Linked DNA regions of Oryzias latipes. The protein of the gene in region 2 interacts with the protein of the main gene of each other region in a biochemical or structural test. Links are inferred from orthologs where the notes say so. Each region holds a gene or a part of one and is shown on either strand. Other genes may lie near its edges.

What was found. The genes of interacting proteins can lie anywhere in the genome.
Region 1: the proteins of nufip2 (region 2) and fmr1 form a complex in vitro, tested with the Homo sapiens proteins (2 studies listed by BioGRID and IntAct, with this or other methods). The link is inferred for Oryzias latipes from reciprocal best matches to the Homo sapiens genes NUFIP2 and FMR1.

The regions. Positions count from the first base shown.
Region 1 is NC_019868.2:25,366,709-25,372,930, reverse strand, and holds the start of fmr1 (synaptic functional regulator FMR1), read right to left. Parts: upstream 3,817-6,222; 5' UTR 3,416-3,816; coding exon 3,365-3,415; intron 1-3,364.
Region 2 is NC_019872.2:16,917,781-16,924,023, reverse strand, and holds the start of nufip2 (nuclear fragile X mental retardation-interacting protein 2), read right to left. Parts: upstream 4,384-6,243; 5' UTR 4,068-4,383; coding exon 3,920-4,067; intron 68-3,919; coding exon 1-67. UniProt on the Homo sapiens protein: Binds RNA.

The DNA of each region.
Region 1 (6,222 bases), on a different chromosome or scaffold from region 2:
ACTTGACTCCTTAAAAAACAAAACTTTCCTTTAGGGAAGTTTAAGCTTTGAGTTGAAAGGAAAACTCCACTGGAGAAAAAAATTCTCTTTTCCTGATGATTTTAACCAGACTTTTTGAGATGCAGGGCATCGTCGTCTGCTTCCATGAGGATGAAGATTAGACCCAGAGGCTTCGGCATGACGAGTTCATCATTGAACGGGAGTGAAAACTGACTTAAACAAAACCTAAAAGGCGGTTTAAGTGCTCACTCCACCCATCTAATCATTTCTACCACAAGGGCATGAAAAAAGGGTTAAACGAGGACGCGTTTTTATCTGTATAGGCAAGTCAAAGCTCGTACTTTGAAAATGATCATTCTGATTTATAGACGCCTTCAGGGCTGACAGCATTGAATACCGAGCAACACGAGCATTTCAAATAACTGCAACTGAATCCACTTTAACAAATAGGCACAGAAAAGACCCACTCCAATGGAAACTGTTTTTAACACGATGTTGATGCTTTTTTCTAATGGAGGACATTGAAAATGGATTTCTGAGTGTTTCTTTATCCAAATCACTGAATCAGGAGCAGACGAAAAAAGCTGTTTGAAAAAGATTGTATTTGTGACGTAGAAAATCCGCTGGGCGGGTCACAAGCTCCATTCTGATGCATCCACTTCCAGACAAATAGATCCGTGTACGTCTGTGTTTAGCTCATCTGAGCTGGAATCTGGATCAGAACTGTACGACTGGACAGCTCCAATACTGCTCGCCATTTTTGTCGCACCGCTAATGTTAAGTTGGGGGTGTGAGGCCCTGTTAGCAAGGAGGAAAGCGCGTAAACAGAGACCTCTCATCAACAGAGAAGGAAGGGGGGCGAGGTTGCTCCCACTCACAAATCGGAGGTGAATTTCTAATGAACTTCTGCCACTTCGCAGAAACTATGTTCTGATTTTGGCTAAAAACTGCATAGTCATAATTAAAAGAGCACTGGGAACCAATTCACAATTTCATGTTTTTTTTTTACCCAGAATTCCCTCTTCCCTCATCACCTGTTGATCAAGAACACATAACTGGGGAAAAGTTCAGACGAGCCTCCAAAGTTTCAATAAAGTGAATACTTTTAAAACGTTTTTATGATATAAAAACGTTCCATAAATTTGATCATTTTTAGGATTATTAAACTTTAAAATGTCTGTTAATGAATTTGAAGATCCCGTCGGGTTGAGCAGCTGCCTGCTGATCAGTCAGCTGAGAGTTCAAATCCCAGGTGGGACAGCCACCGTGTGCTCCATACAACACTTTAGACCCTCAGACATAAGATATCTAAGTGTCTGCAATAAAAATAAACACCTTTGACCATCTTTATGGCTCACATACAGTTTATCACCACGGGAAAAAAAAATTCTTTACCACAAAGACAGCTATGATAAACCTTAAGTACCGAAGAAATCTGTACAAGAAAAAGATGATTCCATGTATAAAACATAAATATGTACATATACATTAGATATTTACTTTAACTGAATACATACATTTAATGATTGAGACCAGTCGTTTTTCTAATAACACAGATATTAAACATATTCCAACACATTCTAGAGAAATACTTTTAAATCACCCAGATACCTTTAAATAAAATCTAACAAAAATATAAGCATTTAAGAGGAGCTGAATCAAACTTTTTTTGTGGTTTCCTTTCTGGGGAAGACTTATTAAAAAAAAAACGTAGATTTTTTTTTTGTCACAAGGTCGTGCGAGCCGCTGCATCCAAACTTAACGTTTCTATCACTAAATTGTTGCCGAACTTTCATGAGGCTGAAATCAGAGAGAATGTTGCTCAACCAGAAGGTCGTAACAGTTTGACGGTCCGATGATCACGCCGCTCGTCACTTTAGGGAACACCATTAGGGATGGGCGATCTCAGTGCCAGTATCTGCAGATATTTGCATAATTTGAGTTTCTCAGTATTGGTCTGATATAAAAAATCTACCGATATTCGCTTGACTGTTTTCAGAAACACTTTATTTTTTAAATGTTTGTTACCAATAGATTGGAAAACTTATGTTTGCTGTCATAGTCAGTAATTGACTGTTTTCAGGTAAATGTAATTTTTGATAGGGATACACGTTGTTCCTATTAGATCCCCGACAGTTATGTCCAATATTCAGTAAATGGTCTGAATGCTTACAGATATATTTTTATGACAATTATAAAGTGATACTTGTTCCTCTAGGATCCTTTGCTGTATGTTAAAAAGGTCAAATGCAATGTGATTGTCCAGTCAAAGAAAAGTGGTACATTTCTAATAAAGAAACAAAAAGAAAATCTAAACTTTGTGTTTCTGTGGACACTTAAGTATCGGCAAATATCGGTTGTCTGTATTGGCACATCCCTAAATACCATTGTTGATGTACAGATTACTACACACACATGAGTCTGTTTATATGACCACAACAATGGGAGAACTGGGAGGGGTTTAGGAAGCTGTAACCATTCGTTCTGACGCGTTTAGGGAACCTGATGATCCAAATAGATTTACATGTTTTATCGACTTTAACTTTTTGTGGGTGTTTTTCCACATCTGTTCTCATTTTGTTAAAATCAGCCGTCCGCATGGTTTTTACGGTTTCCCAATCAAAACATTTAGGTCAACAACAACAAAAAAGCCCTACAGAATAGAGAAATTGCCTTGACTACCATTTATTCGCATTTTTCTATTCTGTTTTTACACATTATTGGATGTAAACGAACAAAAATTAATTGAATTGTGTCCAAGCAAGAATAAAATCGGATTTCGGTGAATTTAGGTTTGACTTTCGTGTATTTAATTCTCAAAAACCAAATGACAACTATTATCTGATGGAAGCTAGTCCTTGAATAATCTGATAATTTAAGAAATCAGATTATTGGTTTTCATTACAATGGGATCAATGAAATAGTGGCCACTATTTGAAAACCTGACAATCCCTGCTTATATGAGCAGTTTCTGTTTGTCTAAACAAATCCCACAACACATTAGCATCCGAACGCAACACTTTGGTACTTTTTTTAAATAGAGACGCCCCACAGACACAAACAAAACAACATTTTTGACCAATATAATCCCTGCATCCGAATAAATTGGATAAATATGAGCAAAAGCAGCTCGGCTTCGCAGATCTCAGGGGTCTGCAGCGACATTAATGTCGTTAAGTCAGCTGCTAGATGGGAGTTTGGCGAAGCATCGCTGCGTCAGTTTTGTTTATTACAGGTACATCCACGGAGGCCCGCGCGCACAAACACGCATCTCCGGGCTTGCTCGGTGGGGCCATTCCGTGTTCGCCCTGTTAGTTCACGGTGCCACAGGCGTGACCAGGGTCGGCAGAAGTTAACCGTTTACCTTGTAAAAGGCCCCGCTCGTTCCTCGGACTTCCACGACCAGCTCCTCCATGACGCAAGTTACCACAGCTCGCTAGCTAGCTAACTCCAGTTAGCAATGGGAGCTAGCTGGCTGGCTAGCTAGCCCGACGCTAGCAGAGTTTTGTCGCTGGTTTCTCTTCCAATACGAATTCCGCGGTCAGCTGGGAGCAAGGAGAGGCAAAGGTAGCTGCTGGTGTCGGTTTTGCACCGCGTGGGGAAATTCACGCGTCCTCCTTTCAGACTCGCGGCGGGGAACGTGTGGAAAATCTAACGCAAATAGATGTCCTGGTTAGCTTGTGGTGGCTGGTTTATGTTAATGTGTGATTAGTAGTAAGGCAGCTGCTGCTGGGTGCATCTCTCCATGTGACGTCTGCGTTTTCTTCCTCTACTGTGATCTCGGCCTGCAGACTCTTCCCGCAGCCTTTGCTGCTCTGTGCGGTTCCTAGAAAAGCCGCTTTGGCACAAACTGATAGTTGAGTTTGTGTCACAGTTTTACTAGTTGATCAGTTAAATTCGGAATTCATCAAAAAAAGGAATGAATTGAACTGTGTTTGGCAAAAAAAATGCCCGGTCGTGTGTATTTATGATAAAACATCAATTCAAAGTGACCTAAGGTTTAATCTTGTGATTTATCATAAATAATTTTCCTGCATTAGCAATTTTTTTTCTTTAGGTATGATGGTTAACTTTTGGATGTCCAAAAATCTGGTCCAATCTGGTTTTTTGTTGACTGCTTCTTTAAAAAGCTGAAATCTTTCATTCATTCAGTCATGCAGTCATCTCCTGAACCGGTTTTGGTCCCTTTCTGGGTCACGGGGCAGCCGGCGTTTATCGTAACAAGGCAGGGGACATCCTGGACAGGTCGCCAGTCTGTCGCAGCGCCACAATCACACACCCATGCACACTCATATTCACACCTAGGGACAATTTAGAGTGACCAATTAACCTATAAAGCATGTTTTTGGACAGTGGGAGGAAGCCGGAGTACCCGGAAAAAACCCACTCATGCACGGGGAGAACATGCAAACTCCACACAGAAAGGTCCCCCCATTGGTGATTCTGTTACAGATCCTCCAGCCGGGACTTGAACCTTCTTGGTGTTAGGCCACTGCGCCACCATGCAGCCCTATTTGATTTACGTTGACTTTAAAAAGTAGATATGCTTTCTTTAGTTCTTCCAACACAGATAGAAGTTACTCAGAATTCAGATTAACAACGGAAACTGGGAAAATTATTTTTGCTAAATGACGAAAAACGAAGCAATCTACACAATTTATGTTTGTGCAGTCTAGTTTATTCTAATGTGGACTGGTCCTGCTTGCGACTCTTCACGATAACTGCGATGACCTTCTAAGTGGCGTTTTTACTTTTCAAGCAGCGCAGTTGTCTCCAGCGTCTATTTTCAACAGGTAGGAGTCAGGGGTCAGTTTTTCCACTTTCATTTACCTGAACGTAGTGACGCTGTTTCAGGCTCTTCAGACCAAACCAAATTCACATCAAAGCAGCAGCCCGTAACAACATCGTCATATCAGATGCAAATAAATCGTTTTCTCCTTGAATCAGTCTGCCGGTTTAAACTTTTGACGTCACTGGTGCTTCTGACAAAGCTGTTTGTCTTGCTCTTATTGGGTTGGAGTTCGATTTAGCCAGCATCATAAACGTTCATGTCTGTAGTTGCACTAAGAGCTTTGATGAATCTTAAATAAAATAAAATCTATTTATAATGCCAACAAATGGGAATGAAGACAGCAAAACACAGGGAGAGGATCTTTAAACATGTTGGTCCAAAGATCTGACGCCCTCAGTGTGAATTGATGATTTGGAACCACTTGCTGCAATGATGGTCTCCGTGACATTTTTGGTGTTCAGAGTAAAGCTGACATCGGAGAGAAAAATAGAGACAACTGGGTTGATGTGGGGAGTAAATTGTGAAGCTACACAGAAAATTAAAATGTTTACTTGTATACATTTGGGAAAATTTTAAGTCATCTGGTTTTTTAACAAAACTGATCAACTTCATATAAACAAACCTTAAAGTGTTACAGGAATTTAGCAAAAAGCTGGAATAACATTTAAAACCCTTTTGATGAACAAACAAACCACACTTCAAAGTCTTAAAAAGAATAGTCAAAAAGCCACAGTTTTTTTAACCCAATCAACTAAATTTAGAAATAAACTTTTGTTCAAACCACAACTTAGAAAACATGTATTTGAACATTCATACTGAAGCTCAAAAACAGACGCCAAGAATCACAGCTCCAACAGCTTGAGGCAAAACATCCAACATTTATGACCTTAAAGGCTTTCATTTTAAATTCAACGTAAAGGAAGCGCAGCTTGAAGATCCGTCAATGAGCTGTTTTTAGAGGACATAAGTGTTCGGGCACAAAGAAGTCAAGACTGAAGCAAGATGGGGAAAAAAGGGCTTCACTGCTGCTAAACCATTCTCTGCCTGCAAATTATCAAGCCATTCCATACTACACCAACTTTTTCATAATTTTTGCATTTTCAGAGTCATTCTTAATTATTTAATGTGATTTGTAGTCTGTGTGCATTCAAACTGTTGTGATCTACACCAGAGTTCACTTGCAGGTAAACTCAGAAAAACCTCTTTTCTTAATAAAACCAGCGATTGCTCATAAAGTCCCAACTGGAGTTCGAATGAGCTTTCACACCAAACAAATTGAACCATCTAAGGTACCAACTTTGGTACAGACCAGTGTAAAAGGGCCTTAAGAGGTCAATACAGACCTGCATTGATGTTATTACTCCAAAAGCTGGTTTTAAAATTCAGTTCCTTGTTAAATAGGCATTATAGGTGTGCTGTTTGATTTATCT
Region 2 (6,243 bases):
CCAACAGCATCAGGTAGGTGTGCGTTCTTCTCCCCTTCCCCGTCACTGACGTTTACTTTTTTATTGCCTGCAAACAGAATTTAAGTCAGTATATGCTGATATAATAGTCTATCAATGATTTCAAAAATATACAAAAGATGTTACACCAAAAGCAAACTCCAATGTGTAACTGAGCCTTACCCCTACACCTTAACCCTTGTGCCATCTTATAGGGTCCAGATGACCCCACCCTTAGATTGACATGGTATCCCTACCACGACAAAGGTGGATAAAGGTGGAGAGGATTTCATTTAATCCGTGGACACCAGTGAAGATCACAAATCATTGAAGAAAAAAAGGTTCAGCGAACTGTCTAGTGGGTCTAGATGACCCAACTCCCAATGTTACAGTGCCTAGGATAGCACAAGGGTTAAAGGCCCTGAAAAGGGGGTAGAAAATGCAATAAACCTGCAACTGTTTAATGCACAAAATATGAGTGAATACACTGTTAAAAATATAGACATTAGGAAATAACATTTCCAATGTGTAACCCTACCAGACTCACAGAAAAACGCAAGTTATAAGATGAAACTGTTCCTAGAAATAAAAAATAACTTCATATTTACACTAAAAATTCAAAATAAATCTTTGCTACTTTAGTTTTCTAGATTACAATTAAGTACAGACTTTGTTTTTTTACACCCTTTCATGCCCTTTGAATTTGAAAAGTCTGCAACACTTCTGCTTACACTTTCATATAAAAGAGAATTGGAAAACCCTTCAAACATGCGGGGTGATTCCATCTTTTCTTCTTACAGAGCTAAATTCACTCAGTTTTCTGGATTTTTTCCACAATGGTTTAGTCCACGACTTTTTTCATTTAAGTAAAAAGGCCTGACATTCAGTAAAGAATCAATACGCCAATGTTTACCTTATAATTAAAAACTGTGGCTTATGCATGACTTTGGTAAAAACAAACAGAACATTTTTAAGAGGCCAAGAGTGGAAAAACTCAACAACTTCCTTATGAGAAAATGTCAGGTCATCATTCTAAAACCACATTGATGATTTGGCTGAACAGATAATATAAAAATAATCAAAGCTATTTTTTGTTGTCGATGTTATAATTGTGAATTTAAAATTGAAAAAAAGACATAACCTAAACCAAAGTTGATAACTGTGAGAAACATCACAACCCTGCATCCAAGTGCACACCTGGATCATAACAACATTCTGAGAAAAGACTAAAGAAAAAAAAATTGAAAATCTTTAACTGCAAGAAACTAATAAAAAAAAAAAAATCTTGTAAGCCATAACGCGCATACACAAACACACGCGCACATATACAAATAATTGGTTTAAGAGCTTTTGATAAGCAGGTGTTCGCTTTATGAAGCTTTGCACAGTCAATGAGTCGGTCTCCAAGTTATCCCCTCTATACAAAAAATCATATGAGAATGCACTTATATACATTCTAAAGCTTTGCATTGTTTACTTCATAAAACCATTTTTAGTACTTTACATCAGCTAAACTACAACTAATATTCAGATCAAGAAAGAAAACATGGTATTTCCTCTTACTTTGTGTAGTTATTTAATTTACATTAGTGGCCGTTCACGTTAAATAACATTTCTACTAAATAATGGTAAATGCCGTATACTTATTTAGTGCTTTACAAGCTTTTTAGAAGGCCCAAAGCGCTTTACAGTCACAGTCCCATTCACCCATGCACACACACTGGCGCCAACCTTCCACCAGAGGTAAGGTGGGGTTCAGTGTCTTACCCAAGGACACCTTCCTGCAATCTTTTGATCAGAGGTCGACCCCCTTCCACTGTACCAAGGCAGCCCGTAATAATGACATGTTAATTTTGACATAAAACTAAACAAGTCTATTTTTAGGTTGATGTTGCCTTTATTTATACGTTTGGTTGGTAAAGGATATTCATGGTTAAAGCAGCAGAAAATGCTTTTTCAGATGACCTGCAAACATGTATGAATGGCACAAACGAATTACAAATATGACTCTGCAGCTATATTGTTACGCAATATCAATACATATTAGAAAACATGTTATTTTTAGGTCTCATCAACTTTACTCACTTGAGTTCTAAGTTAATTGGAATTAAACATAAATCAGTACTTTTTGGAGAAATCAATATAATTTTTTGTATCAAATTACCTATACTTGTAAGTTGAGGTGTAACAATTAATCAACATAACTGATTAATTGATTTCTACTTCTACGATCCAACCAGATTGATCTGTCTGAGACAGGTTGTCAACCAATCGACCTACAACAGTATAAAATCGTTTCAAAATGAGACAAATTAATTATAATCATTATCGGAATTTAGCATTTGCATCACAGCAGACAAAACACACGTGATGTAAGCAAAAAATGATCAGTCTATTATTCCAGTCCAATATGTGGAAACACTTTGAATTTAGCAAAGACATGCGACCATACAGTGTGCTAGAATGTTCTAAAAATGTTCCCTTTGGATTATTTTGATGTGGAGAAACAACAGTGGACTGAACTTTAGGAAATTAAGAGGTGAATGGATTTTACATTAATTCTTGTTTACTTGTTTGGTTGTACACACATTTAATTTACACTAGATTATCTTACAAGAAATACAAGGAATCTGGAAAACTTCACCTGCACTGTTCAGTACCAGGTATTTCTGAGTCACACTGGAGGAACTTTTGGCTAAAGATGTCCTGGATCCATTTTAGGTCAGTAAATCGTTTCAGATCAAATGAACCAATACAGACTATGAATTGTACTGGCAACCAGAAATTAGGATATGAATCGAATCATTACACCCAGATTCATGAGTATAATCTCATCCAGTTCACTTCCATGTTCAATAACAGGTTTTTGAAATTTCAGTTGATCATTCAGTACCAACATCTCGTATATACAGCTCGTTGTGAATAAAACTGATCTTGTTTTAATTAGTCACATCCTTGATATGCTGCAGTTGACGCTGATGTCATTGTCCCACATTGGACGTGTGTGATGACCTATGCTTATTGTGCTGTAATTACTTAAGCATGGGAACCGCGGTGCAAACGTGGGACTTTTCCCTTCACGGGATTTCTCCAGCCGAATGTTTGTGGACAAAACACGCGAGATTCCCCACACAGAATAAATCACTTTTGCTTTTTAGTAAACAGTGTTTTACAGCAGTCAGTTTTCTGAGCCAATTCTTCCACGCTCCACGGCTGCAAACACAGTCAGTCAGGCAGCATCTTGCGTGACTTCACAACACGCGATAGGCCTGTCAGACAGCTAATGCTAGCGGAATGTCAACCAACCAGTAGCTCGCTCAACACTAGCGCACTTTCAGACGACTCCCTGGTTCCGTTATTTTCAGTCCCCGGCGGCAATTAGAGAAAGCATGAACAAATAGAGATGGGCAATGTAGCTACTCGGAGAGCAAAAGCAGCATTAGCTTACAGTCCACGTCTAACATGGCCGACAGGAAATGGGAGCACAGAACATTCCAGCGGAGCCGGCTCGGTTTCCTAACTGGACTCGAAACCGATACACTACAGGAGGTTGAAGTTTGGAGGAAGACTAAGTTAGTCTCTACAGACACAGGGTGGCACAAATAAAGCTTTTATTAGAGGCGTTAGCTAAAATAAAATCGGAAAGCAAAGCCGGCGCACAAGGTCAATCCCTGATATGTCAAACCAACTGTCACGCAACGTCAGCTTTAAAAAAGCGTGAGTTTCTCGTGTGACAGAGGCCTAGCGTGGCTCTCCTCGAGCGAGCCACCGAACTGCCACGGCGGTTCTGAAAATATTCAACCGTGCAACCAACAATCAGCAGGATAAAGCTTCAATTGTGGGAACTTAGCGAGGGCTCGTGCGCTCGTTGACATTAGCCAACTGAAGCTAGCAACAAGCTGACTTTTCGGGACGGCCTAACCTGTTTTCTTCGCCTGCGTTTCCTGATGCTGGCACTGGATGTGGCTCTGATCATGTTTCAGACGAAGTGTGTGTTGAGTATAGTTTCTGTCCTCTCCGTGGTGATGGTTTTGCCTGTCTTGTGCCCGATCTTTGGGCTGTTCCTCCATTGAAGTGAAGAATGTCGGACTGGTTGAGGCGGTGTTAGCTCCCTCTTAGTGCCGAACAGTCCAATCACTACCAGAGTGAAACGGAAGCTATTTGAAGCCCGTGTAAACGTCAGCAGCAAATGTCTAAAAATGGCTCTGTTTTGGGTGGTCACCGCCACTTAAATCCACGTCCAGACCCTCTGTTGGCCATTGCAGATCATATTCAAGCGCCTTTGTCGATCAAATCTGCATTTTACTCTAGAATTAGAAGTTAGGAGAACAATAACCCCCCCTGTCAGGGTAGGAAATAACGGGGTGGGGTTCGTGCATGAGCCAAAAATCATATGACCCGAGGCGCTGCCACGTCTCCAGCCAGTGGACAACCTTTGATGGAGGGTCAGCCTTTAAATAAATGCTTTTTGTTTGTTTTAAGTCTTCTAACTGCTGTTTAATATACATACATACGATCAGATACATAAAATATTGGACTGTTTCAAATTTGTAGAATTGACAGTTGTTAAATCAAGAACTTAGTTCAAAGGGGTTTCGCCTCAATTAAACTCAATTCTCCTTTTCATTGTAATCATAAGATTTAAAACACGGGATTGCAGTTATAAATATCTAGAAACAATAATAGGATAGTTTCTTCATTTATGCTTTAAAAAATGAAAGAAAAAGTGTAATAAAAAATACTCGTAAATTTGTTAAGTTTTAGAGTTAATTGAAGCGCCTCACTTTTCAAAAAGTGGGAGAAGTCTGGAATCTTTGAACAGCTCACGCGTTTAGATAATCGTTGAAACAATGCCATCTAGTGGCCACGAGTGGAAGTCCTCAGATTATAATCTCTATTATGAAATTGGCTATAAATAAATATTTCAGATCAAAGCTTTGTCTATTTTTTAAGTTTGAGATTAAAATACATTACAAAAAATACAGCTTTAACATTACATAATTTATAAGCCACCATTAAGACAATTAATCATACAAAATATGTTTTAAATAGCTAATATTCACAAATGATGAAAGTTAAGAATCAAGCAACCTTTATTCACTTCTTCCCTTCTGTTCAGTTAAAGCACTCTCTTGATTCCAACACACTTTTACTGCTGATGTATGCAGTCCTGGCCCCCTTCCACTTGACAGCTACTTTTATATGAAATATTCATATCACTGCTTCATTTAACAGCAAGATTTATTTTTAAAAATGGAAGGTTTCCAGAGAACAGTACTCTCCAGGCACTTGGTTAAACATATCCTGGACACTATTTTTAAAATAAATATGTTGGCAGGTTTATGGCAACTTTTGCCACTTTTTTTCTTTTTTTAAATCAAATGATCCCTCAGATGATTTTTTATGGAGGAAAAGCAAAGACCTGTGCAATAATGGGATAAGAAAATTAATATTTGTTTAATAAAAGTTATTCACTCTAATTTACATTTGTATATCATTTCATCAAGAAAGAGTTGACCATATAGTTAATGTCTTATTTCTGACAAAAGTATTTGGTTTTCTTTTAGACACAATATGAGCACCCTTTCTGACAACTTGACAGAAAAAGTCAAGCTAAGTGCAGTATTTCAACAAAGAATCATGTGCCACGGCACAACCGAGTGAGCAATTTCATAAAGCCTATAGAAAATATGAAATTATGATTTGTAAAATTATTTTTCTTAACGAAATGAGGTGTGATGTGTAATAGAGGAGTTTCAGCTTAAATTAAATGAAAGGTGTACAAAACTGTGGTGACACCAGCCATGTTGTTTGGCCTACAGACAGATGCACTGAGGAAAAGACAGGAAGCAGAAATTGAGCGATGAAGATGCTGAGGTTCTCTTTGGGAGTGACCAGGACGGATAGGATCAGGATGAGGAAATCAGACAGACAGCACATGTTGGAGGTTTTGGTAATAAAGTCAGGGAGGCCAGACTGAGATGGTCCGGATGTGTCCAGAGGACAGACGGTGAATATATTGGTAGAAAGATGCTGAGTGTAGAGCTGCCAGGCAAAACGTCTAGTGGAAGACCAAAGAGGAAATTTATAGATGCATCCAAATAAGATGTGAAGGTAGCTGGTGGAGGACACAGAAGATAGGGTTAGATGGAGGAAGATGATTCACGGTGGCGATCCCTGAAGGGAAAAGCCAAAAGGAAAACAAGATTTCTCTTAGTGAAATTCCTTTTCTTTGCTTTTAGAACA